Daphnia pulex: one gene and its partner. The protein of the gene in region 1 purifies or fractionates together with the protein of each later gene. This does not show direct contact. Links are inferred from orthologs where the notes say so. Each region holds a gene or a part of one and is shown on either strand. Other genes may lie near its edges. The genes, in order: sterol regulatory element-binding protein cleavage-activating protein-like and sterol regulatory element-binding protein 1-like.

Region 1 (15,249 bases):
AGTTTAAAATGAGACAGTGAGTAAAACTTGATTGTTAATAAACAGACGGTTTACATGTAATACACTGCATTTTTGCAAGTCCTGCATTACATTGCACAATTAAAGTATCTAGCAGGTCACACACCACTCGAATAAAAGTAAGGTGTAATGAAAATCATTACCTAAGCGATGATGCTGAGATTGCTGCTGATGACAGGTCTATGGTTACATCATATCTTGTTGATGGCTGTCTCTGGCCTCAAATATGCACTAAGGAAAAGGTTACATAGTGAACAAACAAACTGCCATGCATCGACAGAGGGGCTTAAATGATAAATGCTGGTCAGGACGAACTAACATTTAAAAAAATTTGGAAAAGGTTTAATTCTTCGAAATTCAGTTTCTATAGTCATTCTATAGGTATTCTTAGTTTTATTTACCTGGTAATCAGCCGTGTGTACGAAGTGATTCTGTAAAGAGAGTAGGCCTAAGAGATGTGACCACAGAGTGGACACGACCACGTTTATTTCGAAACTAAACAAAACAAAAGCAGCAGACGACGCTAACTTCCTAATTAGCCATTTATTTCTTAAAATATCGATATAAATTATTTAAAAAATCCACAAATATAAAAAACACCCACTCAAAATACGATAAAAGTGGTTTTCCCACCCGCACTCGACATCCGCTAAAGGGATCGGAATTATTTTAGAATGATCTAATAACCCTACCACAGACAAGAAAAAAATTCAATATTTACACGAAACCCGCAGATAAATGACTGCCAAGAAGGAATAATTTCCTTCTTATCTTACAAACATATACAAACATAATACATACAAATACCAGGATATAATACCACCATGAACTTAAAAGGTTATATCCTTCAACTGTCGTTCGGGAAAATTCCGCTTGTAATAGCATTTCTTGCGTCCGTGTAAAATAATTCTTATCTTTACATACAAATACCAGGATATTATACTACTATCAACGTAAAAGGCTATATCCTTCAAATGTCGTTCGGGAAATAAGCTCAGCTTGTTGTGGCATTTTTTGAGACCGTATAAATTATCGGTCAAAAAAGCCTGAAATTTAAAAATTTGCGATCACGCATGAATTAACCCCAAGCGTTAAAGATATTTCGTCATCCTGTAACATCTTATACCCATCATGGACTTGTGCAAAAAAGCTCCAATAGAACTAGAAATTTGAAAAGGCCCTTCGACATTGAACACGAACTTTCACGCGACTTCATCTGCATACGAGCGCAGCAGCAGCAGTTTCAAGGGCGTGATGAGAAGAATTTCGAAATGTCAGCTGTAACACACGTTTAATGATTTTTCTTCTCAAGAAAACTTTGAGAATCTGGAAGAAAGAAACAAAAAAAGGTGTTTCCAATTTTTCACAACCAGTTCTCGATCTCAAATAAGAGATTTCGTTCGCAATCAACGCATTTTTTACCTCCAGGAAAATCGTTCGGGAACGACGACCAACAAGGAATTTGATGTCGCGATCTGTTGCCAAGGTCGACTCTACTTCACGCTCGAACCATATGTCTGCGTGAACTGCTGCTCTGTTCTTGCGTCCCACCTGCGACCTTGGTATAGGCAAACCAGTTACTGGCGGTTACCGGTATATATTCAAACTTGCTATTGCTTTGAGGATTCGCTCGGTTGAGCAAATATTGAACGCCAACATAGACATCCACACAAACCACAAATACATAGAAGAATAAATTTTCTTTTGGGAGGCGGCGAATTCGAAGTCTGCAGGCCGCAGGCTGTTTTTTCGTGATAGTGCCCATAAACATCAAAGCTTGCGCCTAGAGTTCCAGTCACGGACCGTTTGCTGGAGGGAGGAATTAGTCTAGTTACTATAAAAATTCAGAGTCCCTCTGAGACGGTTTCCTATTTGACAATCGCAGTTGTTAAAGAATTGGGATATATTACTAGCAACGCGAACCACTCAATACTTAACAGACAGACCGGAAACGGTGTGAAAGATACCCATGATAGACTGGTACTACTCCGTGAACCAATAAATATGACATTTTCGTGGACGTGAAATCGTGAGATATCCAGGAAATGTGACGTCAACAACACGTGAATGTTCTACGCTCTTTGTCTAGTGTTACCGAAACGTTGTGAGGAGATTTTTAACCTTGACTAAGCTCGTTTCGAACGAACGGCAACAACCATCCTACCTGAGGGATACAGCGGGCGTTCTTTTGACTAGAGTGTGTAGCTGCGGGCACGCTCAAAGTATATAGTGCTAGGGGGCGAAAGTGCTGGAGAAGACCGTGCGTTGTGAAGAAACTCAATTGTAATACGTTTGAAGAAAGATACTTAGTCTTTGAGCACACTTCCACGCGGGCGAATGTGTCGGCTGGTGCTCGCTCCTGACACGGACGCGTTTGATCCATTTCTCGTCCAGTTTGCTGCGGTCTACTAATTGCGATCATGGTCCAATCCGGTTTCTACTGGATTAAACACAGCCCTCCGAATTTCCAGCGCACCCCAATTTGAACGATCGCCTACATCTGGTGACCAAAGAAGAGAAAATGGGATTACTTTCGTGTGCCAGCGTCGTTGTGATAACCGTGTTAGCGGAATTAACCTTCGGAGACAAAGTATTCCCGCAAAAGTGCTGCCCTGGAAATCAGGTGTTGGACGTGGAATTGCGCAAGTGCGTCGATAATCCCGCGGTGTTCAAAACCTACCAGGAAGAATCCGGAGTCAACGATCCACTTTTACAGTGTTCCGATGGATGGGAAACTTTCAAAATGGAAAACCAGTCCGTCGACGGTGCCATTGTAGAACCTCGCTACAATCAAACAATAACTCAGTATTGTGTTCATTCCACTGCGTTTAATGATGTTCGTAACGAGACTGTCGTAGCCTACTGCCGCACTCCAGCGCAAGTGAAAAAATGTTGTCCGATGGGCCAATCAGTCAAACGCAATTCGATCATGGAGTGCATCGCCAACGATCGAGTTTTCAACGCTTCCAAAATAGTTACTCCGGCCGGATGGCCATTCAAAGTCGTGGAGAATTCTTCGTTGACTTGCGAATATGATTTCAACATTTACGTGCCAAAAATGTTCGTCGATAACAGATATGAGGTCAACGCATCCGGCTACTTTGTTGTGAAAAGAGCCTTGTACAAAGTATTGCGTCATTCCGACAATTATTGTGTTGATACTGCTGTCGATGCTGAGGGAAACCAAGAGGTATAGTTATATCAGGGTCCTATTAAATGTTAATTTACTACAATGAAGAAACTTTTTCTTTTGATCCCCTTTAGGATATTGCCATGATATGCCTGCCGTGGAGAATGAAATTGGTGCGGTATCTCCTGTGGGGTGTCTATTCGTACCTTCATTACGTCTCGGCTTTCTTCCTCATTTTGACGTTGGCCGTCTATGCCATCTTCCCTCCACTTCGTGATAACATCCAGGGGTACTCGATGATCTGCTTCTTGATTTGTATGATTATCGTACAACTCGAATACGGAATCCTGCTTTCACTTCCCACCGAACCCCACACCTGGTGTTTTTTCAAAAGTAAGAATCTCATATAGGTTAAAATTTATTATTAAAAATTTTATTTAATTATATATCCTTACAAAAAAATTTCTCTTCACTAGCGATTGCTAGTAATTATTTTCGGTATGCGTCCTCAACCTGGATTACCGTGATGGGATTCAACATCTGGAACCAGTTAAAGTAATAACTCACTTTTTTTTACGGCCCTCTCCTTTTGGTGGAATTTTATTTTTCAAATGCAACTGTTTATTTTTAGTTCAGGTCCCAGACCATCAAATAGACGGGACTTGCTCATCCGTTTTGTATTGTGTTCCGTCTACGCTTGGGGATTGCCATTCGTACTACAAATGGCTGTGGTTATTTATCGTGATAGTTTGGGACCACCTGTCCGTCTTTGTTGGTTTGGAAATCCCATAAGTAAATTTCAGTTATTCGTCTTCTTCCTGCAATAATAAAATTAACACACATGGATTATTTTTCAGTCAAACATTTACTGAGCACACCGAACGTCATTCTGGTGACGGCCAATTTGATTTTCTTCATTCCAAGCGCTCTTAAAGTTCATGGAAGTCTCCGTTTCCTTAAAACTTCTGTTTCGCCCGTGGCTCTCAGCAAATTGGAAAAACAAAGGTTATATCTAAATATGAATAGTTTCATGGTGATGTAACAAATGTTGCTTACCGTTCCTTTTTTTTACGCAGGATTACGACGATATTCCGTTTCTTCTTACTGATGCAGTTTTACACGATACCGAGAATCGTTCACGAAATAGTCGATTCAGACAATGCCACTCCCGAATTGCTCATCTTCAGTATTTCTCTCTACATGTTGATCGGACCGGCCATGTTTTACTTTTTCGTTTGCAAAACCGAAGTTTACAAAATGATTAGGGACCGTGTGGTCAAAATCAAGGAATCTGCTTCACGTGCCACCAGTAATTCGACAAAAATATCTTCGGGCTCCGTGAAGTTCTGGCGCTCACGATCATACCAAACTTCTTCGGATGAATCTCCTGCAATTGAGACCAGCGATTCCAAGCCCTCAAACATTGAGGCAATCAAATATCAACAAAATGGAGAAGACCTTGGAGAAGACAATTTAGCATATACAGGCGAGGTTCATTCAGCCTAAGATTTGGATGGAAAATATGCCAATTAAAGATGCGCGAAAACATACTCGTGGTGATTGGTACAAAAAGTGGTTATTGTGTTGAATAGACTATCATTGAGCTTTCTAGAAATATTGACAAATTTTATATTGCAATCCACTTGATGAAAAATAAATTATGTTTAAGAATAGTTGTCACTTACACTTTTTGAAGGCGTATTTCTCAGAAAATAAAATTTCTTCCACTGAACCACCTAAAATATTTAAAAACAAAAGGGTTGGAACATCCCTTTAATCTCTGGTCAAAAAGGGAAACTAAAAAATCAGGTAAATTAGAGTTAAACGGATACCAAACACGTTGAAATTTGTTTTAAACCAACATTGTAATGGAAATACTGGTGCCGAAAATAGATTACGTTTTACGCATGACTTGTTCAGTAGTTTGCATGTGTTAGATGTCGATTATGCAAAAACCTTTTTTGTATTCTGAAGGACAATTAAAGCAATAATTCATAAAGTTGCTATAACGACAACATCTGTGGTTGAATTTTCAGCCGGGAAATAACTTGCTGTGGCATACAGAATACAGGATTAATAGTTTTAAGACTAGATTCACCGAGAAGAGATAAACCCGCTAAACCAAAGAGGGTGTGAAATGGATCGGGCATGTCATTTGGGCGATCACTAAATCCGCCTGTCTCGACGTCTTGACAGGCCATAATAAATTTTCTCAACTGATTCTTATCAAGCCAATCAACTCGCCCAATAATCCGCAAAGACGCAACTACCCACCAAGAGTAGCAAACATCCGGCAATTTTTCTGGTCGACCATTCAAACCTAAATAACAATTGAGTTACATAGTTTAAGAGACGTCTATTTGAAAGATTTCTAAAAACAAAAGTAATTACCGCCACTCGGCAACTGCCGTTCACATAGCCACCAGCCAAGGCTATCAGCTTTGATCAAATGTAAATGACCTGTAATCGACAGCATACCAACACAGCAATACACTTGACTGAAAAGGTAACCACAAAAAAGAAACAGTATTATTTCTTCCTTTGTAATTATCTCAACTTAGAACTTACCCAGAATGACTTTCAGAGCCAGGTCTGCATCCAAACCCTCCATCAAAATTCATACATGAGATTACAAAATTTACTGCATTATCAATATTAATAGCATCCAGCCTTCCCTGGAGTAAAAATGTGTACAAAAATATGTGTTAATCATAAAAAAATTGCAATCAGTAAATCCACATACCAAAAGAGCCAAGCATGCAACTGCACACATAGAGAACCTTGTATCAACCTCACCCCATTGATCACCACAGAAACTTCCGTCATCATTTTGCAACTTTTTGACATAATTCACAATTTTTTCACAATCGATTGCATCAAGTGCATCATACAGGCACAAAATCTGAAGAAAAAAAATTCAATTTTCAGATGCATATGAAGTGAGTCAACTCTCATTACCAACCTGAACAGCACTCAAAGTGTAGAGAAGGTGAGGATCATGATCTACACTAGCTCCTATACCTCCATTTTCATGCTGGCATTGCTTTATAAATAAAATAATACCATCTCTGTCCATCTCACCAAGTTTGCCCATCAAATCCATTGCTGTTAAACTCCAATAGATTCCATTCATTCTCAAGTACTCTGTCATACAAAATTCATAATCATCCTTATTGTTTCCATATGCTGCCAAGAAACTTGCATGCTTTGGCAGCAACAGATTAGGTATATCAGCCTCCTTCGGTAGCACTATGTCGTTCATGAGAAGGGCCTAGTTCACATGTTCAAATAAACCATTTATCATATCAAAACTGAGACCGGCTTCCTCAAAATAATCATCTAAATATACGTACCATAATTGAAATTATATCTGTTACGCGGGAATGGTTAAGGGGTAGCAAGGGGTAGTGGATAATAGGTTCCAAGCTATCCAAAAATTATGGATTGGTGGATTTTCACTCTTAACAATGAAATTAAAAATTTATTTTGCAAACACAGGCACACAGACCACTTTGACGTAAGTTAAGCAGCATGAGCAGCTGACTGTTAAGGGGCTAGCAGACGGATCTTTTTCGATGCGACAGTAGCGCCATCGAAATTATAAGACATAATGAAGATTTTTAATTTTTTGAAGACACCATTTTTACGTAAATGAAGTCATGATCTCTAGGATAAACAAATTCCAATGAAAAAAAGTCGGTTTATTCAATCGGCAACAGTTTTGGTATGTTTTGTTGTAGAATTCAATAGCCTCTATGTTGTCATCCACAAACCCAATCACATGTGACACGCTAAAGTAAAAGAAAAAAAGAGAATCTGAAAAAGACAATGAAAAAGGCTGAGGAAAAAGGGGGAAAAAAAGGGAAGGAAAAAGACCAAAAAAAGCTAACAATTTTTCACAATAATTTACTCGACTTTGTGGGTGGAAATCATGGGGAAAGAAACGATGCGAAGCTGCGTTCCGTAGTCACAGATGACGTTGTCTCTGACGACCATGACGTTACGAACAAAAGTACTCGAGTCGGCATCGCCAAGACGAACTTCACGGATCGATTCTCCCGTTCGGACATCCCAGACGACCAGGGATCCTTGCCGACTGGTGACAAGTAACCGATCATTGAGCATAGCTAAACTGCCGCACAGAGCCAGACGGGACAAGGAAAGAGAATTGAGCAGATGACCCTGAAATCGCTCCCAAACGCACAGCTTGTCATCGGCGCCCAAGCTGATGACGTACGAGGAGGTGTAAGTCAGGACGGACACGCTACCGTCATGAGCCTGCAAACTGTAGACGCAAGTCCCGCTGGAGAGATCCCACATGCACAGCATTCCGTCTTGACTTCCGCTTCCCGATGCGCTGCAGGGGTAAGCTTCGTCGATAAACATGGCCGTGATGGGTCCGCGATGCCCGTGAAGACAGTAGAGGGCTGTCAAGGTTTCCAGTCGCCAGACTTTGAGGCAATGATCCAGCGAACCCGTAACGACGCGGCTGCCACTAGCCGAAGCGTCCAACACTGAGATGGGCTGTTGGTGAGCTCTAGCCCAGTTGAGCCGGACCAAACGGAAAGCTAATGGAGATGATCGGTCCTCTTCGTCGTACTCGTCGGCGCCACGACGAGAATGAACGTGGTGGCTGACATCTTCCACAGGACTGTCGAAATCGGCGTGAAACTGGAACGACTCCAGGACTCCATTCAATCGGGCAGCTAGAAGATACTCGCCACAAACTTTGAGTTTGGCCACTCCGACACCACTGCCGTCGTCGTAAAGACAACGCAAACCGGAATTATGGCTCCAAATTTCAATGCGTCCGTTGGCACAGCCCAGTGCCACTTGGCCATCGAAGCATTGCATGCACCAGACGGGCGATGGAAAGTAAGACGTTTTATTATTTCTCGTTGGACTAGTTCTGTCTTTCCAAGACAGGTTGTTAGGGCTGGCCGGAGGAGAATGAAACGAGCCCGGGGATCTAAATACAATCGGATTAGAAACGGCGTGACTCAACAGTCCGCCCAGTTCGTTAGTGGATGAGTAAGTATCGTGGCGTGGAAAATTGGGAGAGGCCGGCGACGTTTGTTGCTGAAAAGCGGCGAAATAAGTGTTTCTATCAATTTGAGCTACGGCATCTCCCGTCTGGATGTCCCAAATGTGGAGCTGGCCGGCCAAGCAGACACTCGACACGACATCTCCATCGGTGGATATGCATTCGATGGGCGAACGATGACCGTCGAGAACGAGAGGCATAGATTCTGCTACTATCTGTGAATAGTATTCGCGAGACTCTTGCGTCAACCCACCACCAGCATTGCCGGCCCAGCCCCAGAAAGTCGAAGAACTCCTCCATTCGGCGTAGTGCCGAGAGCAGATGCAACGATATAACACGACAGTCACGTAGGCGATAAACACCACGCTCGGTATGGCTAATAAAGTGGTTAAAATAATTTGAATGGGCGACGAAGGAACGTAGGGAGTCTTGTTGTCTTCATCGGAGCCACCGTTTCCGCCTGATCCGCCGCCAATACTTCCGTCACCATGGCTTCCGGACAGGCCGAAATCACTATCGTCACCGTCAAGAACATCAAGCGTATCGAGAGCTGATGCCAGAGATTTCCATCGCGATCGCGTCAGGTACTCGCCATCGCGACTGTTGCGCACTTCTGACACTCGTTCTGGGTTGACTGGGATAGAGATTCGAATCGGAGGCAACATGGCTATGCACTTTCCGGCCAACGAGATATTGTAAATGTCCAGCAGGTCGGGCCAGTGGCGATAAGAGAGCCTCCTCCAGAGCTCGACGTTTTTGGGATGTTGTAACCGATTCTGCCAATCGATTACTTCTTTGCCGCTGGATGACGTAACTGATAGTTCTGGTGCGGCCGAATTGGCTAGAATCGTGGATTCTTTCAAAAGATCTGGTTCTTCCGGTTCAATACAGTTGGATCCGGCAGAACACGAAACTTTGAGATTAGGATGTGGTGCTGGAAATTCAACCTGTGAAGAATCATTGGCTTCGACAGACCATCCGGCCGATTGATCAGCCAAATTTTCCATCACTACGTATTTGTAAAAGAAAATGCTCATCCATATGACCACACCCACCATAAAGGTACGCTGAAACAAACGCGTGCGAGCCCAAAAGTGAACGATCCTTATCCGACGTGGTACTCTGGCCGCAGCTGATCGATTGTGCGTGTAGGAGGATGGTGCTACGACGGCCGTTGGGGTATTTTTGGCTGAAACAGCTGCTGAGTGGACTCGGGTGCGCAAGTGGGGATGGACAGCATTCCCCGTAAATGCCCTTTCTGCTGAACTGAGAGTATGGACGGTGTGGTTGGTCGACAGGTACTGCTGACCAGGTTGAAGCTGCCGTCGTTGGCGCTGAATTTCCGACAACTCTTTGCGCAATATGTCGATGGACAGGACGGTGGAGAAGAACAGCATTTGCAGAACGAAATCGGAGAGAAGGGCGACGACGGCGAAGAGGCAAAATTCTTGAATGGCCGGCACGAAGGTGAAGAAGCCCACCGTCAAAATAGTCACTTCTGTTAACAAATTTTTGGTTATGTTCCATCCTTCACGACTAAGTCCCTGTGCTACACGGATCTTGACGTCCAAATTGGCTGGAGTAGAGACGACAGAGCGAGTCAAAACTAAGATGTTCTCCAGACCAACGATCACCACTAAATAAGGGAAAATGTCTCGTCCCTGAAGAGTGAAGCGCAATCCGAACCACGTGCACAGGCCGACCGACATGCCCAGCGATGCTACCACTGTCACTACGGCGCTGAAAGCCATGCCAAACTTGGATTTAACCATTTCGATCTTGCGAACAGAGAAGTAAATGTACAGGAACAGGATTAAGTAGACAAAAGTCAGCGGGATGAGCTCCAAATAATTGAAACGTTCGGGATAGTAAATGTGAACGATGGTGCGTCGAGATGATGTGGATTCTTGAGTGGTGGAGTGGAGAGGAAATTGATTGCGGAGCTTTAACCGCAAGTCATAAAGAAACGGTTCAGAATGAGTTTTAAGTAAGATTGTGATAGCGTACGTAAGGACGCGAGAACGAGTCTTGACTGGGAATTTTTTCAATCCACTATTTTTGAGCGGGACGCCGTAAAGTATGTCGGCCATACTTGATCGCACTTCTACCACTGGGTTCTTGAAAGAAAATATGGTGTCTAAGAACTGAGCGTCGTTGCGGAAGGTATTTTCGTCCAGCTTCCACAAATTGGCCGGCGACAAAATGATGCAGCTGAATTCGGGTAGAAGATGTTGAAACGAACGAGCTCTAGGGGCCACACTCTCCACGTAAAGGCAAACATCTCTAAGAGTCAGGTTACTCCTAGGTGAATGGAAACCCACTACATCAGAATGCAGCTTGAAGACTTCACTCAATGGGCCTCGAAAAGCATCCATCATGCCCAAATCAGACGTCCATGGATTGACAGAGGACCGTACAACTATTTGTTGTATGAAAAAAGATGGTTGCTGAGTTCCCCATCTGGTTGGATACTGAAAGCTTTTTCCAAATTCAAGATCAGAAGAGATTCTTTTCTCTGGAAGCGGGAAAGATATCTCCTCTGGTTCATTGCCTGGAAAAGGCAAGGACAATAAAGGATGACACGAAGTGAGAACAATAATAATTGCCACTATGATTGTGCACCAGGGGTAGCTAGAACACAGAAGGCCATGTTTGTAGTAGAGGAGTGCTACCCTGTCGGGTATACTCAGGCCTTTGGTGCTTGAATTCAGTCCACTTCCATTAGCAAGTCCAGCCGAATCAACATCTTTGACGGCGGGATGATGACCAATTTGTGGCTCAACAAAAGGCATGTTTGAGTAAGTCCAAAAATATTAAAACAAACTGTAGACGACGAATAGTGAATAAATTTCACGACATTTCGCCACACTTTCCAGTATTGGCAATATTGGGAATGACCTCCGAGAGCAAACGTTTCTCCTAAACAAGAAAATCAATATAATAAGAGATTTTTTAATTTAAAACCGGCTGCAGATTCAATTTTAATCTCTATTTACCTGTCGAAAATGCCCAAAAAAGAAAAACATGTCAACTAAAGATCAATGCCTTGACACAACTGGAGCGTCTAGTGCAGAAAATTGTAACGTGGTGGTGGAATTAAACAAGAAAAGAAATAATACAGTACCTACCAGAGTTGTCCTAAAATTTGTTTACAAAAATAGTTAAATTAGTAAAATTCGTTTGCCAATATGTTTTATGGTTATTAAGTTATTTAGTTTTAAATATTGCCGATTCCGCAATAGTTCACTCAGCCGCCGCCGCGCACACAACTAAACATTTATCGGTATCGCTAGATGCCGTTACTAGTTCTGTTTACTTGTAGTTATTCGCATGTTATTCGTTTCGCGATTGCGTTCGTTATTAGTCGGATAAACTTGTCAAAGTGTTGAATTGTAAGAATGACTTCCAAAGGGATCGAAAATGTGAATCCACAGTTATTTACGAAGAAGACAAAAAGAGAAATAACAAGTGAAGAAGAAGATGAATCAGTAGAGGATCCCATAGATGAGAGGGAAATATTCGGTAAAGACTTTCGCACTTGCGTAATACATCATTAAACAAATTCGCTTATCTCTCCATAATTATAGATTTGCTAAGGGATATCAATGATCCTGAGCATCCTATGTCACTTGAAGAACTGAATGTTGTACAAATCACGAATATAGAAGTAAAATATGAAATGTCTGATTTCACACAAAATCATTACCTCTATTTCCTTTATGTATGTACAGGTTGATGACAAAAAAAGCAGTGTTAAAGTCTTTTACACTCCAACAATCCCTCATTGCAGCATGGCAACTTTAATAGGACTGTCCATCAAAGTGTGTCTTCTCAGGTCTCTACCACCTAGGTTCAAAGTTGAAGTAAACATTTCCCCAGGTTCACATGCTTCAGAGGAAGCTGTTAATAAACAGCTAGCTGACAAAGAAAGAGTCTCAGCCGCTTTGGAAAACAGCAATCTACTTGAAGTTGTTAATCAATGCTTAGTAAAAAGTTTGGAATAATAACCATTTGATCAATACATTATGGATGAAAATGCAGTTTATTTTGATGGAACACATTCAAATCTATTCAGTGACAATTACTTTACATTGTCCCTGTTCATTTACATTCAATTAGAACCATGAAAGTTGTAAACTACTTTAAACCACTTTGCTTCATTTGAGCATCTTTGGACCCCAATTATGTCATTTAAAATATTTACCTAAAAACAAAAAGAAAAACACATTGCTTTTAAAAATAAGATGATCCAGTACTCTCAACTGCAGGGAACATTTCATTGCAGAAGCCAGAATTCTGGTCATTCAGTTTGAACGTGCGACCTGGGACGAAATCTTGGCGTTTCTTCTTTTTGTGAATCCAGTGCTTAGTTCCCGGAATGCTTTCGCGCTTCTGCACAGTGTAACTAAACAACACAGGGATGTTAAGTTAGTTCGACGCTGAAAAAATAATTGTGACACTCACTCTATGTTGAATTCAGCTTGGCCCATACGCAAGCATAAAAGAATTCCGTTAGCAAAGCTAACATCATTGACGAAATCGACCCGAGATTCAGCACCCACAGTGAAATCAACAGATGATTTAACAAACGGCGTGTTTAAATTTAATGACCCCTCTAGCTCCCATGCAGCGCTGAAATGAAAATATGAGTTTTATCATTATGATCAGAAATCCAGTCTGTAAATTGACTTACATATCTTCGACAACTGAATGAGAATTTCTGTTCCAAATACTGATTTGGATTTCGCCACCAAAATCAAAAGAGACAGAACCACGCACGTCGAGTGTAGTAACAAAACCACTTTGGAGTGGTACGACATTACGATAATCCTGAAGCAGCACAGTAGCCTGTTTATGAATGTCAATAGAAATGTCAATACCGAATTTAGTTTCTGTATACTTAAAACTCTGAAAAACAAAATGTAATCTACCTGTAGGGCTGTGGTTCTTTCAGATGCTGTGCCAGACCTGGACATTGGCAATGACAAATGGTATTAGTTCTATGTTACTAGAATTTTACTAATTTGGACCAGGTTAAACTCTTCTTTTCAAGGTCCAATAAGCATTCCATTTGCATTTTTAGTTTTGTTTACCTGCCAAAACAGCATGGAATATAGTAAAATATATACACTTACCAGACATGGCCCATTAGCTCGCTTTGACCCGAGAAGAAAATAACAGGTCTTAGCTGGACACCAGCAAGTGTGACTTCCATGCCTGCTGTAGGTTCTTCTTCGTCACCTTCAGTAGAAAAACCCATCAAAGAACCCATTCCACCGGTAAAAAGTCCGACCTATTTGTTACCATACCATTATAAGTTGATGTTTGAAATATTTTAGTTTCTTATATATTGTGGATAACAATTCACAAAATTATACCGAGAGTAGCTGAAAAGTGTCTTCGGGGTTTCGCAAATAAACATCAAAAGCGGCGCGTTTCATCATTTTGTTTGCCGCTTCAGTGGAAGAACTAGAATAATAAAAGGTTATCTATGAATGCGTACTTTGGTTAAATATCAAAATTTGCACCTAACCTAAAGCTTCCATTGCCATCAACGTTGCGATACAGATCGCGAGAGAAGGTCGTTGACATTCCATTCTGGGCGAATACGTGATAATTGTTAAGAGAAGGTCGGTCTGATAAGATTTGCTTCAACTGAGAACGGACAACTGGGTCATTTCCGGCATATTCTTGCAATCGCTGCAGTGAGTAGGTGTTTAGCTCCAAATTTTCGCTGCCTCCCATCGAAAGAGAAATCAAGACGTTGATAAGAAAAGTGCTGTCAGGCTGGTGATCGAGCAACATATCCAATGCCAATGTGCGAGCGCTCGAGTCGTAAGGACGATCAACTTGAAAGTAAATAATCTCCAATTTTTGTTTAACACGATCGTCGAGGAAGACGGAAGCGGGAAGAGCTTTTAAAGCTTTAACTGCCCATACTGATGTCTTCTTATCCTGGCTGTCAATGTGGGTCAAAATAATGGGTAGCGTTTCTGGCGAGCCCAAGTTTTTAAAGACTCGCATGTAAAGTTGGTTACAATCTTCGCTGGCACAAGTTTTCAGGTTGTCCGTAAAGTAGGTGGTGATATCTTTAACTAGCTATTTAATTAGGAAAAGTAAAAGCTTTAAATATTACAATGCGAAATTTATAAAAATAAAATGCATACCTTGTCACTTGCTTTCTCTTGCTGATTTATAACAAAAGTTTTTGTAATCGCAGCCAAGCTCAGCAATGCTGTTTCGCTGAGTTTTTCTGACTTGATTTTTTTGGATAACTTCAACAAACCTGAAATACAAGTTGTTATTTCAAAATTTCCAGTGCCTGAATTATGTTAGTAAATATAAAAATGATAAACTACCGCCAAGTAGATATTCAGATGGTCGAGTCGATAGTGAAACTACTTGCAAGAATCGCTCAGCCAGATCAATGTTTTCAGACTGAAAGTTGATCGCCTCCAAAGCAGCAGCATAGCTTTCAGCGGTTTGAGCGGCTGCGACTACATCGATCAGTTGCGGTCTTAAAAAAAAATACGCGCTCATTCACGGAATAACTTAAATAGGGTTAGTAAAAGCTTACAAAATTTGTTTGTTCTTGGAATCTTTTAACAGAACCAAAATATCATCTTTGGACGATTGCCGAACGACGGGTAAAAGCGTGACGAATGCACTAGCGCCCAAACTAGTTGCGACTTTTGAGGTTTGGAGGTTTTTCCTTACTTCGTTGACAGCCTTTTTAAGCTAAAAAAAAATAAAAATAAAATGAGCATTCAGATTTTTCGATGTGAAATGGAAAAAATATAATGTAATACAATTACAAACATTTTTGCAAGATGAGGTCTCACAGGCGAGTACAGATGATTCTTCCACTAGCTGAAGGTTATCCTCGACGAGATTTACGTTGGTATTCATCGTAACGGATTGAATAACTTTGGTCAATGACACTGCGGAAATTTTCTTTTTCGATTTGGATTCGCCTGAAATGAAATGTATATACTTTTAAAATACGTCCCATCCTAGTAACTGATTTTCAGAAAATTTATACCGTTTAATCGGAGGT
Region 2 (15,219 bases), on another chromosome or scaffold:
CATTGCGGATGTGGGAGACCGAGTCTATTGGCTATTGTTCCTCGCGGATGATGGAAAAAATAAGGAGAGGATGATATGGCATCGCGTGGGGGGGCACATTGTACACACAACTCAACAAAAGAAAAAGAAGAACAACAACAACTTTTTTGGCTTTTTGTTTTGTTACGACTTGTCTTTTTCTTCTTCGCATAACCAGCGCACTCCTCCGACTTTTTTTTTTGGGGAGGGGACTCTAATTGCCCAACTCCTTGCCTCTAGTGTCACGGTCCTTACACGTTGGTGGTAATGTGCGGCTAATAAAGACGACCCAAAATGTTCCCGTGCTGTATTATTTTTCTGTTTTTGGGGGGTTTTGAAAAAGGGGTTGAACGCTGTAAGATGACGGTGACGCACTTTATTTGCTTCGCTTCGACACTTTTGAACAACACTGACCGCGTCTTTTTATTGCCCCCCCGGAACTGACTGTACACGATGTTGTTTAACCCTAAAATGTAAGTTATCCACACAAGGCATCATCGTGGTGGTTATGTAGACAAAGGAAGTTGTCCATCGACCAGCACTATCAACCCCATCAACTTTATTTAGTTTTTCTCAGTCTATACACCGTGGCATCGATCTGCTTAGGTCTTTTGGATCCCCTGGATCTCTGTTGATTCTTTTATAATGGCCGGAAGTGAAGAGATTACTTTGTCGTGTCCAGTTTTGGATCTACAAGACTTTTGATGTTATCTGCATTGGATTGCTCCATGGATGTTATTAGATATTGATGACAGTTTAAGGCGGACATGTAACAGTTACTAGACCGTATGTAGATTTCTCATGCATTTTAGAGTTGTCCGCTCAATAAGTTTTGAGCGATGTGGATTTCTGAATATGTATATGTTATGATCTCCGCTTGGTATACCACAGGAGTTTACCGGCGGTGGCTTTGTGCGGTAGTACCGCACATGATGGTCATCCCTGGTCATCATCAATCATTCAGGGTATCTCACGCGAAATCTTTGATGATGACAAATCTAAGGGCCTTGCTCACTCGTTAATATTGATTTCCGCATCAATCAGATCCGCGTATGACTCTCTCCCCTCAATTGAGAATGTTGTGCCAATCTCCCCCCACTTGTAGTAGCGCCGCATTTGCAGCAAATCGAATGGACGGCATCAAAGGCTACTTCAATGAGATGAGCCGAATAAAGTGCGTTCATTACGTTTATTTCTTAAATATCCATTTGCTTATGTCTATCTCTCCTCTCCTAGTGGACTGAATTCATTTCATCTAATTACTAACATTTTGTTCTTTTTTCTTTCTTGATGTTGATTCACTTTTAGCGCTGTCAAGTCGCATGCAATTCGCTTGTTGTTGTTGTTGTTAGAAAAAAAAGGCGGGGGATGGGAATGCAGTGTCAAGTTTATTCCTATAATACAATAATAGGAGCACTGCGCACTAAATCTCCGGGCAATTCCAATAGAAGGACGCCCGCTAGCAACCGGGGCGACGTCCGTTGTCGTCAACGGTCTCCTCTTCTTTTTCCCTTTTATTTTGCTTCATTATTATATCGTTGCGGAATGGGTAGGCAGAGCTGTATCCCTAATCATTATTGTTCTATTGTTTCCTGCAAGGCTTTGTAGTATAATATGTAGTACGGAACGACAGTATTATATTTAATAGTACATGTGAAGGCATAAGACTGGTCAACGAGGAGATGAGTGAGAAACCCCGGAGCGATGCGCTTGCTGTAGACGCGGCCCAAAAGGAAACGCGGGTTGTTGACATACAGTGTATACATGCCTGATGCAGAGGAGGGACCCCGTATTACATTCGACACAATAATAATAATAATAATAATAGACTGGAAAACTTCAGTTTGCGCAGATATATTCCACTCTGGACATGAGGGACAAGCCCCAAAGACAACCGGCCATCCAGCCCTCTATACCGCCGATCTATTGTTACATAACGAAATAAGCAGCGAGCCTCGTCGCACTTGACATATCCAAACCCGAAGAGAACACGGAACATGGACATCCCGCGGACGACGTACGTGCGGCGCTGTTCTATTCTAGTCCTCGTAACGTGGATAACTCACGCGATCGTCGATTGGTGCTGCAATCTGAGCAACTGCCATCGTCTACTGGGTGCATTTGTGTTGACTGGAAACTACCGTGTTGTCTCCTTATTAAATGGGAAGACGAAATCAGTAATCCAAACTGGATGCAGCATCAATGAGGAGGGGGAGGGTTGGCCGGAACTTTGTGACGCACGAATCTAACAAGGAACTAAGCTGTTTGTTAGTATAGTAGTAACAAATATCTTGTAAAGTTGGAAACGCGTCTGTCGCCCTACTATACTAAATTATTTTGACTCTGGAGGAATGAAGACGTCGTTTTGCTTATCTGTTGCAGCTCCATTAAACTCGCGGGTATATGGGAGAATATAGGCAACACCAAGCAACAGCCCGTGATTGAGTTATAGCGCCGAGAAACCAGCAAATGAGACGTGATGAATTTCAAGTTTTAGCTCCCCCCTCATAAAATCATTACGATTTCATAGCCTATCTGTCGTGTATCCCTTTGGCATTTCTCTAGTAATGAAATCTGCTCTCAACGGTAAATACTCGAGGGATTCCTTTGTGCATTGTGTTTTATTTACGTGTTGTTATTATATAGCCTAAACTCGACCCACATAGCAGCCACTATACCGTGTGCAACTGTTGTTATTATTGTTCATCTCAAATCGGATCAAATGTGGGGGAGCCGCTCCCATCGTCGTCTCGTTGGCGGTTGGTGGGGGGAGGACAATCCTCTCAAATTGCGCAATGGGAAACCTTTGATGATGAAATGCAGCACGGCCGTGAAATCCCTTAAATTCTCCTCTCACCCTCGCTCGTGTGGTCCCTTGTCTTGGGCAGTAATTTAGACCCTCTCCTCTCCCAGTTCATTTCTACGAATCTCTTGCCTGTCCGTCTGCCCTTTTCGTTCACAGAGAGACCAACAATAACACTAGACTACTCTCAAGACGTGCTGTTGGAGAAGCCGAGAGAGAGAGAGTCTATCTAATTGTCGACGACCTCCTTATTCCCATCGTCAGGGACTCGGGAACTTTTTTCAGAAGAGATGTTAGTCGATAACAAAAGGATTGTGACGCGGTGGCCGTTGCTACTTTCAGTCGCCTTGTATAGGGGATAGTATTAGATGAACTCGTGGTGAATGTGTCCGACTTTCTGCCGAAAAGTTGGTCTACTTGCGCCATGTCTACATATCATATCTGTTTGCTTTATTATTCGCCTTTTGCCGCACGTAGGACCCAATCATCCACCGGATGATTTCCATATCTTAAGCCTACTGCATATATTAACTCTGACTATTTCAAATGAGAATCGAGATAAGAGGATTCTCAACTTTTCTTTCCTCGGATGACCTTTTTCAAGATGTTGAGCAGCGGCGGGGACGTGTGTCTTGTGTATAGGCAGCGCTTTATCATCTGTACGGCTTGATGGGTACATAATGGGATTTCGTTTAGGTTGTAGGCATATACGTTTCTTCTTTTTTTTTGACGGTTTGCACACGAAATCATTATTGATTTATGAATATTAGACACTGAGGAGAGATATGCTCCATATCGGAGGCTGTTTGTTTTTTCCTTCCCTATGTCGGGGTGTGGCCATTTCGATTCTTTTGGTTCCGTTTATTTTTTTGTATTTTTTTGCACTAGACGAAAAAGAGATTTCACCCTGGGTTTTTTCTTGTTGACACATGTGAAAGCAGCTAGACGTCTATAGACATGTGCTGGTGCGTCTGTAGCTCTATAAGAGAAGAGGACACGGAAATCAAGCAAGTCTTGATCCTTGAGCTGTCGCACCCCCGCCCCACTCGTTGTGTACACACACGTAGAGTGATTGAGAGATTCAATAGTATCTAGGCTTTATTCCTTAGATATATATTGATATTAGAGGCAGAGAGAGAGAGAAAGGAAATCAGCACGCCCAGTTGATCCCGGCAGCATTTTCGAACGCGTTTGCTTCTTGATAAAAAGGAGGGGAAAGATGAATCCAAACAAGACGAACGCATCAGCAGAAACAACAATCGCGGCATTGATTTTCCCATTTCTTTAGATTACCCCCCCCCCCCCCCCCGACCATGTCTCTCTATGCACACACACACACACACATGTCGATGACTCTATAGTATACTGTAGCTAGAGGCATCTAAAGGAGTTGGCTATATAATTGCATCATACATTTTCCCGCCAGCAATCTTGCGTCCGTCTCTTTTCGTTCCTTGTCGATTCAAGGCGACTTGCTCCGAATAGAAATAAACTGATTCTGACATTTCTCGACAGAGTCAATCTCCCCTAGGTATAGAGAGACGACATTGTCTTCTCCTCCGCCGTCGATATACTCTGCAGCATTCCTCATTTCAGTCGGATATTGTCTAGACTCGATAGAGAATCGAAAATTCAATTTCCCCAGTTTGATTTGATTGGCAGGCAGGGCACCACCAAGAAACAAAAAACAACAACAGCACCCCACACTGCAAAGGGGGCTATGTGCTGTAGGAGCTATCACGAGATGATAATAATAATCACGTAGACCGACCCCAATAACACAAAAGAAATGCGCTCGGCTCGACGGGGTAGAGATGGCTTTTGTATACAACTGGTGTAGTACAGTCAAGTTGACTATTGTATTATGTCTGACCTAATAACTGGTAAGCGAATACGACGAAAACACGAAGACGCTTAACCAAAAGCTATTTAGACCAGAGACTAAACAAGGTTCATCACATCTCACACCAATGATATGTGACGGCTACTGTGATCCGGCGGATAGCTGCCGGGCTCGTCTTGGTCGGTCCCTCCTCTAGAGAACCCGAGAAGACCCAGCACCCCAGTAGTAGGCGAACAAGAGAGCGGCACTCGACGACATTCGTGATTCCTAATTGGACCAGCCACAGCCGCCAGTGCTTGAACCACAAGAGGATTTCGCCTGTGTAGTACATTTATTTGTTTTTCATTCATTAGATTCATCGAGAAAAGTGCTTTTAGCAACAGCGCAGTGAGTTGGTATTATATCCACTGGCTGGATATCACGAAGAAGGAAGAACAGGGAAATGACAACGGCCAGGGAAAAGTCGTCCGTTCGAAAAAAGGAACTGTCACGCACGACTTTCATCAAGTCATGAATTATAAGGCCTGATAGATAGTGATATATAACTTGATATGCCTCGTCGTGATGGCCGTCCAGTTGTCAGATAGCGGAATCCTCCGTCAAACGAAACCGGATCGGCATACTACTCCCCTTTTATAAATTTCAAGTTCCGTATCCTACCACGGGTCACATCTTCAAGCTGCAGAGCGCCCAGCAGCGCCGGCCTTTCGTCCGGTCTATGTATAGCGCTGGTATCTCGTCGTGTGTCAGCAGCAACGGCCGAAAAAAAACCAACAAAAAAATGGAAATACGACGACGAAAAAAGTTAAGCCACTGTGCCCGTGATTTTTTCTTCCAGAGAGAAGAAAACAAAAGAAAGTTAAAAGAGAAAGATGTTCACAATCGCTATAGAAATGACTATACTATACGGCGGTTTGGGTCACGGCACAGATACGGAGAAAAAAGCCGTTTGCGCTTCTGGCTGTTCCGCATCGTTTCCTCTTTCGATTCTTGATACGACGGTCTTGGTCTTTCCTATCTTTCGCCGTTATTATTATTCTCTCTTTCTTTCTCCCGCAGCTTTCCTTTTTTCTTTTTCTCTTCTTTGCTTATTTTCGACTCGCGATGATGCGCCCTGCCAAAAGGTTCGTTTCTAGTCCTTGTTAGTTGAACCGCCCGTTATGAATTTCGAAACGAGTGAAAGAATGGATGACGCTCAGCATCGTGGTCTACGTTTGGTTGACGTGACGCATGGTGCGGGAGCAGCTCGGCGCATCCCCAAACATTATTTGTTACGTATTCGCTGCAGCACTCGGGCCCAGCTCAGAAATAGTTTGAAGGCGAACATACACGAAATCTAGTGACGGATGCGGAATCGTCAAGGAGACTCGCCAGCGAGTCGTGCTGGACCTACTATTTGTGCGCACGTACGTTTTTATCCATCATCTTCGCCCGTTCTATTGCTGCTGCTGTTGATCAATTCTGATTGGAACGTTAATCATTATACAGTACAGTACATTGCATTCTTCTGCTTGGCATTTTCCACCACCACCGCAGAAGTACGTAGGTGGGAAGGAAACAAAAAAACAAATGGAGTCTGTCGTCCGTCACGACTCACGGACCGTCGCCCCATTTTCCCGTTGGATGATTAATAACCTAAATATAGCCCGGCGTCGTCATGATCAAGACATTTGTCGACTCGCTTTACTAGATGTTCCTCTCGCCAATAATTTGAATCGTCGTCGAACGAACAATCGACTTGGCCCTCGGCCACCGCACATTCCGGCATCCATCAAAACAATTGCCATTCCGCGCGGCATTATTATCCCCTGATGATGCGATCCATCAGAAGATGTGACTTGGCCTTTGCACTTTTTTTCTCCGGACTGTCGAAAATCCCGATGGAATGTTGGTTACAAAAATCCGACTAGATAGTCCGAAATGCGCTTTTCCCGTTCAAGCGCCTTTTTTCGTTTTAAACGTTAAAGTTTGAGAATGAGATTATTAAATGAAGGAAACGAAGCGAAATGGAAATCTTTAGCACGCCACCGTGTTTCCTGCGCAACACAAAAAGTCTCATTTCTTAATTACCGTCGTCAAACTTGCTGTGGATATCCTCCTCCTCCTCATATCCCGTTGATATTTGAAAGGTGCGCACGACTGATTCCTCCCCCGTCAAGTTCGCTTACTGCTACTGCTACTACTACCCCCCGTAGTGTATACACCGTAATTCTGTACTTGTATACACACACACACGCGAAAGTGTGGGTGCACATGGAAAGTTTTTGTCTCTATGAAACTCTGGCTGTTGCTGCAACCCGTCGACGGAAACGGGAGAGAAGGAAGAAGAAGAAAACGACGTCTCTTTTTTCCTGTTGTTTTCTTCGCTCGAGTTTGGTAATTGGATAGCAGTCGGGACAAGAGTCGGGACCGGTTCAACGAATGAACGTCAATCGGGCGACGAGTACAGTTCTCCGGTTCAACGGATCGAATTAGTTTTCTTCTCGTGACATTTGGTGGGACGACTCTTCGTCTGGCGTCTTCCTTCACGCGAGTCGACGAATTTCGCTCGACAAACGAGTTTTGCGTTAACACAGTTTAGATCTGTGATTTCCTGTTTATTATTTTATTTGTGTATTGTGAGTAAATGTTCTTTTGTATGCACTGGGAATGCGAAATGATGCGCCCAGCTCGCATCGTCGGTCGCAGTCGGCCCGAAATAGATCACCGTACGTTGCAACCGACCAAGGCTCTTCCGATTCCCAAATACGTCCCGAACACAATGTGTGTGTTTTTTGTTATGTCGGCAGTTGGAAAAACAACATCTGAATCCTTCAATTCGGTCGAAAATAGACAAGCGTTTGCCTCGAGAGGTAATACAACAATTTCCCCCCTCGGTTTCTTTTACGTCAGCGAGTATTTTAAAACATTCTTTGAAAATTCAAATGCTAACAACTCGGCCCACATTGCGAGAGGGCAAACAAGTGAAAAATTGTTAAGATCTCTCTTTTTCCTCTTTGGCTGCTGCGGGCAAAATTTTATTTCGAAAAATAATAGCAAACATAGGCAACGTCGCTCGGGCGATCATACGATGTTTTTCTTCTGTCATTGGACGGCCAGGAACTGGCGTGATTTGAAGCTCCACCTCTTACTGTCTGCATGCTGCAATAGTTAACGTCGTTGACCGAATAGTACGCGCTACAAAACCTTTAGTATTTGTGTTTTCGTAAATTCCAGAATACAAAATCGTCAGTCTTCTTCTCGGTTTTCCAATCGAATACACGTCATGTTTTTTAGTAGGTGATTACCCACACACTGAAGACTGTTATTGTTGTTTCCTGCCATGGATACGTCAAATCGCGCCGATGATATGGATTTGGAATTGAACTTTCCTACTGATTTAGGAGGTAATAAAAAAAGTATCTTTTGATGTCTGTTGATAACAAATACTAAAACGTTTGTCCATCTATACAGAGTTGTTTCCTCATGAGGATTCCGAACTTATCGATTTGGCTGGAGAAGATTTGTTTTCATCTTTTGGCCCTGTCTCTCCACCAGTAAGTTTTTAAAAAGTTTTGAAATTTGTCTAATCATATTTGTTTTAATGTGATGTTTTGAACATTAAGGCTCACAACTTTCACCAACAGAAACCTGCCGTTCTCCATCCTCCTCCTGTGGCAACCCAACCTCCCATCATTCCAGTTTCTGTTGTCGAAGTTAAACCAATTCAACAAAGATTGATTCAGACAGTTCCAGTGACAAAAATTGTACCAACAATATCACCTCAGCCTGTATTGAAACAAGCTCCGATACAGACAAAAAGTGTCCCCCAACACATCCAGCCAGCCCAGACTGTATTGGTAAACAAAACCAATCCGCAGGGCACTGTTGGCACTCCTATTCGAGTGGATACAAATTCCCTGGGTGTCTTGATTCTTGGCAACACTTTTGGCTATAATAGTGTTGTCACTGTTCAACCAAATGGCGGTCTCGTCAACGTCAACCAATCTGCTGTTTTAGGATCAGCAAACATGTTTAATGGCAATTCTAATCCACCAAGCCCAACTCATGGGCCACCTGTCATTAAGAAGAGTTCCCACAATGCCATTGAAAGAAGATACAGAAACAGCATCAATGACAAGATACTGGAATTAAAAAACCTAATTGCTGGTGAAGAAGCTAAGGTGTGACTGGTTGTAACTCGACTGAAAGATTTTTTTATTTAATTTATCTTATTGTCCATAGATGAGCAAGTCTGCCATCCTTAGGAAAGCTCTGGAATATGTGCGCTACCTCCAGCAAATGAATCAAAAGCTAATCAAGGAAAATATGGCTCTAAAAATGGCATCTCAAAAGCAAACTGTCAATGGTTTATTGACAGCTTCGATGTAAATATACTTGTTTTATATTGTCGGTATAAAAGCTAAAGGTTTATCGTTCGAATGCAGGGATAGTCCTCCAATTGACATTACACCTCCAGGATCGCTGGAAAATTCGACGTCGGCCGAATCGCCACCCAGCAGTTTTGGTAGCGGATCTCCTTTAACTTATGCGGCTTCGGTAAGCGACAGATTTTAATTTTTTAAATTGATTGATGGTTTTAATTGCTTCAATTTCCGTGCAGTCTGACGACGAGTTTACCATTGACGGAAACATGGTATCGCCCGGAAACGTTATTGCTCAATCGATGCTGGATCGTTCGCGTATTGCCCTTTGCATGATGATGCTGGCCGTGTTCGCATTTAATCCGTTCGGCAAGTTCCTGTCGCATGCAGACTCTGCCGTCTCCCATTACAGCAAACCGTCCGGTCGTGTTATCCTGGAAGCTGGTAAACGTTTTGTTACTTGAATTGCTATCATGACATGCAATCAAAATGTATTCATTTGGTTTCAGATCCCCTCGATCTCGGAGATGATTCTGGATGGTTCCTCTCATTTGCCGCTGTTGGGATTAACATTTTGGTTTTCCTCTTTGTCCTCCTCCGCACTCTTGTTCATGGAGAGCCGTACATTGAACGCCAGAGCAAAGCGGCTTCGCTCTACTGGAGACAGAGGAAACAAGCTGATTGCGACATGAACAATGTAAAAGCTATTTAGGCTCGTTGTTTGTGGTCGGTATTCCCAAACTAAACTTTCCCCTCTCTGGTACTATTGTCTCGTTAAATTCAGGGAAACTACGTAACTGCAGCCACTCACTACCGACAAGCCCTTTGCGCCTTAGGTCGGACAGTGCCCGTATCTAAAGTCGATGTTGTGGCTAGCGTCGGATGGAATTGTTGGCGTCAGCTGTTGCATCGCTTCGGATTTACCCGCTTTCTCAGCGGCCGTGTTGGCAAACTTTTCCTGAATCGCGATGAACGCCGAGTGGCCCGTGAGTTTCTAGCGGAAGCCGCCCTTTGTTTTCACAAACTTCACCAGCTGCATCTTAGTCAGCAGGACGTCATTGATCCCAACAGCCACTACTGGTAATTCGATCTTTTGATTTTTGAGTTTAAATTGATAACAGAGAGATAAAAACTAACGATTGGACGGACTCGTGCCTGTGTGTATTTGTTATTTATTTGTTATTAATCTTTTTTAAGGTTCGAGCGCTATCGTGGCTTGGCTTTAGCCCTGTCTGCTACAAATCTCGGCGAAGCTGCCGGCCCTGCACTGAGTGCCATGTCCAAGGCGGATATTTACATTCATCTGGCGCTACGAACGAAACACTCGTTTAGTGGGCGAGGTTTCTTGTGCGCTCGCTTCTATTTAGCCCGCGCTCGCCAAATCTGTCAGGCTCTCAACGGCAACGCCCCTCCCCGTCTGCAGTGGCTCTGCAGTCCGGCCGGCTATCGTTTCTTCCTCAGTCATCATTGGGAGTACGACGATTTCCCCTCGACTTTGTTCACCTCTCTGGGCAACAAGTCTGATCCTTTGGCTTTTACCATGCAGGTTCGACATTTTTGTCAACAAGTTTTTTTTTCCTTTTTTCCTTATCATCAGTCGAAATTATAATCATCATTGTCTGTGTGATTGCAGGTCTATCGTCAGCACGTCCTACAGAAAGCTCTATTGACGTTAGTTTCGCCCGGTCGGCGTGTTGGTGATGCCTGCGATGTGGAACCTTCTCGCCGGGCGCAAACTGGCGACGCGTTGAGCTACTCCCAGCAGTTGATGGAGAACGCCACTGCTGCAGTCTCGCCCAGTAATGACTCCTCGCTTTTACCGCCTTCTACCATTCAAGGACTGGGTGTCGGTGACGAAGTGGCCGGATGGTGGGCAGCTGTCGTGGCTGTTGCTTCTTATTGGCTCCTGTGTGAAGAGGACAAGGCAGAGCAATTGCACGCTCGAGTTGAAGCTTATCCCAAAATGACGCAAGAGGATCCTCTGCTGGAAGCCGTTTTAGGGGCTTACAGGTAAGCGGAGATGCGTCATCTCGTCTTACTCTCTTTGGACGTCATCATCAAACTCTTAATCGACAATTTCCTTTTCGGTATTTCCTATTACAGGGCGCGGCGTTTGTTGCTACGCGGCGCTGATCCCACATCCATTATTCAACAATGCTCTCTGGCTGGTTGTCGTTTGAAGGAGTCTCTCCAAGTTTCACTTCACAAAAGCCCTCAACTCATGGTTCAGGTAGGGAAGGCGCATGTTTGTTCTTTTATATTTGCCCCGCATTGTGAATCACTGTTACGATTAGATTCGACACACTGGGGGTAGCCCGTGTGCATTGTAGTTGCATTGCACGTTGTCAATTCTTTGTTTCGCGCAATGCTTCGGCAGTGCAACTCGGGATGCCAACCGCTATTCTTCAACAGCAATTTTGGTTCACTTATTTCATTTGTTGGCGTCGGACATGTTGTTAATCCTTTGATTATTTGATCTGGTGCAATGAAATTAAGGCCCTGTCATTCTTATTAGGCTGCCCAATTGCTCGTCAGCGATTGGCTGTTGGAAACTCGCACAGCTTTGTGGGAAAATGATTTTGAAGGTCACAACATGGATGTCAATTATGTGGCAGAACCCGCTGTTTTATTGGGATTCCAAGAAGACTTGTCTAGTTTGAAGAAACTAGTTCAGCACTTGCCCGTAAGTCTCGTCCTTTTCTTTGGGGCGTTGTTGCATTGTTATAGGTCAATATTTATTTGATTTTATAGAGCACTTTGCCGAGAGTATTTCTACATGAAGCGACTCTGAGGATGATGGCTGGTGCAGCTCCTGATCGAACACAACAGCTACTTGATCGTACGCTTCGCTACCGCCAGAACAAACAGTCGGTCATTTGCGGTAGCAAAGGTACTGGTGTTTTTCAATTGAAACGCATTATTTTGTATTTGTGTTGATAATACTTGATAATTGTTATCACGTAGGTAAAAATGCGTTCTTGGACGCCGGCGAACGAGAACATGCCACGGCACTGTACATGGCTTGTCGCCATCTACCTGCTCCTTTGCTCTCGTCACCGGGCGAACGAGCTGGAATGTTGATTGAAGCAGCTCGAACGCTGGAACGTATTGGGGATAAGAAACGGTTACAAGATTGCTACACGTTAATGAAAGCAATTGGTACATCCATTTCAACTTAATTTACTTCATGTTATTAATTATATCTAATCATCTGTGTCCCCATCAATTCATTATAAAATACCAAAATTTCGCCGAATAGACTATAAATCGTATGACGAAACACCTGATGAGTAATAATACAACCAAACCTCTTTTTGTAAATGCACTGATGTACGGTTGAAGACTACGCATACGCATTTTTATGGTTTCTGTGTATAATTATTTAAATATCCTCAAACTGCAACCGTACTCAACACTTGTCGTATTAAATAATATAATTTTTGTTTTTCCCAACTAGTAAACCGAAAATGATTGGCGTGTAGACCAAAGGTAACTTTCAGTTGAAGCTGTTTTACTAACTGTAAATGCAATGCAAATATTTCCCACTTAGATCTTCGATCGGCAAGTACTTACATTTTTTAAATTATCGTTTCCTTAATTGTGAAGTGCATTTCTTGAAGAAAGGTTTCGGTGCTCAATTTGTTTCAACAGCGGTGCTAAAACATGGAGTGCAAATCGGTGAGTAAATTTTTATTTATAGTATACAGTAGCCGACTGTAATTGCCTAATTGGTATTGACCATTAGTCTATAGATGCATCGAGCGCAACTTTTTTTTTAACTCTGACCTTCTAACAAAGGACGCAGCCTTGTTTAAGCTAAAAGTTTGATCTTGTTAAAAAGTATTCTAATTATTACTTAGGAAATTACATCTTAGATCGTTTCATTTCCGGTCGTAGTCCTATTCCACACGATGAATAATCGACAACGATTTTTTCATAGCCAAATTTCTACCACATCCCTTTCCTTTCGATATGGAAAATCGAAGCAAATACGGTCGTAGTCGTATCCTTCCTCTTTCGTAAGTTTCGTAAATGTGAGCTATTTGTGAGGATTTTCTTAAAGATAACAACAAATCGTAGATTCATGTGCGCATTCCCGAAAGTTTCCGTTTCTCTTCAGTCTTTCAAGTCGATTGGCCACCAACATTTCATCTGTCTCATTTCCAGTGGTACGTAGCACATTTTATTGAAATGTCGAATCAAGATAACCGTGAACAAGGCGCGTTCGGTGTTGGCACCTACGGGAGAATTTTGGCAGATGACAAAGATCAACGTAGACCGATAACTCATCCCCGCCAGCAAAAATTACCCCGACCGAAGTTAGGGTCGTACCCTTCGAAGAATTGCAATTTCAAAGTCAGACTGTCGTCAAGAAGGAGCGTTTCCCGAGAAAATGTAAGGCAGCGATCGTTCCCCAGTTTATCCAGCATCAGTGAAACGGAATCGCCGAGCTTTGATTTCACGGAAAGTTTCGAAGTTCTCGACGAAGGTGAAACGATTTCTCCAACGACTTGGTGCGTTTGGCCCCAACAGATGTTGATGGTGGCCATCGATGAAAAATTATTTACTAAAAGTCCCTTAAATGTCCGCTTGTGTAAACCTCGTCTCAATGTTTCCCTTGGTGAGTCTGACTGGAGGGAAATTCCACCTGATTGTTATGACGTTGGTGTTTTGTTTGCTGCTCTGAATGGGCACGTCGCCATGTTGACTTTTTTCCTTGAATCGGGAGGGGACGCCAATGCATTGGATTTGCTAGGCAGATGTGCCCTGCATTACGCGGCAAGTTCTCCGAGTTCCAGCGCCGTTTTGTGTCTCAATCTGTTAATCCGTTACAAAGCCACAGTTGACGTGTTGGACCAGAATAAAGAAGCGACTCCGCTTTTCTGTGCCGCCGCTTCCGGCCGTATCGAATTGGTCGAAGCACTGTTAAGCAATGGTTCGGACGCAAACGCTGGGTGGGGAAGTTCAAGCGCTTTGGTGTGGGCCGTTAGGGCCCGAAGTTTGTCTTGTGCCACTCGGTTGGTTGAAGCAGGCGCCAATGTCAACAATTTGCAAGTTCTCTGTGAGTCGCCTATTCACGTGTCCGCTTTCCAAGGAGACGTCGACTGTTTGAAATTACTTTTGGAGAATAAAGCCGATGCCAGTGTCCTTTGCGGTCCCGAACGAAGAAATGCACTGCATTTAGCTTCCTTGAGAGGCAAAGCCGAATGTCTTCGCTTACTTTTAGAGGCCAGCACAACTGAAATTGACAAGCCGGAAGCCGTTGGCCGGACACCTTTACACTTGGCGGCCTTGTCTCAATCGGTAGAATCGGTCAAAGTATTGTTGGATTACGGAGCGCGACATGATATTTGCGATGGAATGATGGAGACGCCGCTTCACAGTGCAGTCGTCAAGTGCCGTAGGGCGATCGATGTCGTCAAGTTGCTGATTTCCAGGGGAGCCAATGTCAATGTGAAGAATCAGTTCAGTCAAACTCCACTCCACTTGGCGGCAATCAACGAACATTCGAAATTGGCTTCGTTCTTGATTCTCTCGGGCGCTGATCTGTCAGCTAAAAATCGAGCAAAGAATACGGCTCTGGCCTTAGTTGCACGACGAGTTCCAGACGCCTTGTCAACCATTTCGAAAAAGTTGGATTCAGCGATTGAAATAGCCGGAGGACTCGATCCAACTGATGCAGATTGCGAATTGCGATTAGATTTACAAGTTCTTGTGCCAAGCGGCAACCAGCAAAAAGAAGGAGAAATGGCCATGTTGACCTCGATGATCGCGGCCGATCAGCATCATCTGTTGCAGCATCCAGTCATTGGCGCCTTCCTACATTTGAAATGGACGAAGATCCGTACCACTTTTTTGGCCTCACTCATTTTTCAATTTTGTTATGTTCTCTTTTTAACACTGAACATTTACACTACATACGTAAGCAGTAAGAATGAAAAAGCCGAGAATGGAACGACCAATTTAACCGGCACAATTGTGCACAACTCTGATTTAATTGACTCACAAACCCAAAAAAGCTACTCACTCGATTACTTTTGGTTGCCGACGATCTTTTTCGGTTCCATGACAGGGTGCAAGGAACTTTTCCAACTGTATTGTAATCCACATGAATACGTGACAGATGTAGAAAACTACGCGCACCTCTTTTCTGTTGTCGGAATAGCACTCGTCATTCCCAGGAATGAGGA

Evidence for each region.
Region 2: the proteins of sterol regulatory element-binding protein cleavage-activating protein-like (region 1) and sterol regulatory element-binding protein 1-like purify together in Homo sapiens (affinity purification with western blotting; 4 studies listed by BioGRID and IntAct, with this or other methods). This does not show direct contact. The link is inferred for Daphnia pulex from reciprocal best matches to the Homo sapiens genes SCAP and SREBF1.

The regions. Positions count from the first base shown.
Region 1 is NC_060019.1:10,890,107-10,905,355, forward strand, and holds sterol regulatory element-binding protein cleavage-activating protein-like, read right to left. Parts: upstream 11,288-15,249; 5' UTR 11,189-11,287; intron 11,112-11,188; 5' UTR 10,985-11,111; coding exon 7,055-10,984; 3' UTR 6,829-7,054; downstream 1-6,828. Other genes in the region: uncharacterized protein LOC124191180, read left to right, coding at 2,540-3,208, 3,283-3,541, 3,625-3,703, 3,780-3,940, 4,006-4,153, 4,225-4,654; geranylgeranyl transferase type-2 subunit beta-like, read right to left, coding at 5,152-5,468, 5,540-5,646, 5,717-5,823, 5,892-6,050, 6,111-6,419, 6,502-6,504; cytosolic iron-sulfur assembly component 2B-like, read left to right, coding at 11,591-11,714, 11,780-11,859, 11,924-12,196; microsomal triglyceride transfer protein large subunit-like, read right to left, coding at 12,426-12,597, 12,657-12,824, 12,886-13,040, 13,124-13,160, 13,328-13,485, 13,571-13,661, 13,726-14,291, 14,360-14,478 and 4 more. UniProt on the Homo sapiens protein: Escort protein required for cholesterol as well as lipid homeostasis.
Region 2 is NC_060018.1:505,698-520,916, forward strand, and holds sterol regulatory element-binding protein 1-like, read left to right. Parts: upstream 1-7,709; 5' UTR 7,710-7,834; exon of another isoform or gene 7,835-7,940; 5' UTR 7,941-7,986; coding exon 7,987-8,050; intron 8,051-8,117; coding exon 8,118-8,200; intron 8,201-8,269; coding exon 8,270-8,827; intron 8,828-8,888; coding exon 8,889-9,031; intron 9,032-9,091; coding exon 9,092-9,203; intron 9,204-9,267; coding exon 9,268-9,472; intron 9,473-9,537; coding exon 9,538-9,725; intron 9,726-9,812; coding exon 9,813-10,108; intron 10,109-10,225; coding exon 10,226-10,574; intron 10,575-10,661; coding exon 10,662-11,038; intron 11,039-11,131; coding exon 11,132-11,258; intron 11,259-11,543; coding exon 11,544-11,711; intron 11,712-11,779; coding exon 11,780-11,918; intron 11,919-11,992; coding exon 11,993-12,187; coding exon of another isoform or gene 12,188-12,207; exon of another isoform or gene 12,208-12,287; coding exon 12,288-12,322; 3' UTR 12,323-12,349; downstream 12,350-15,219. Other genes in the region: transient receptor potential channel pyrexia-like, read left to right, coding at 13,220-15,219.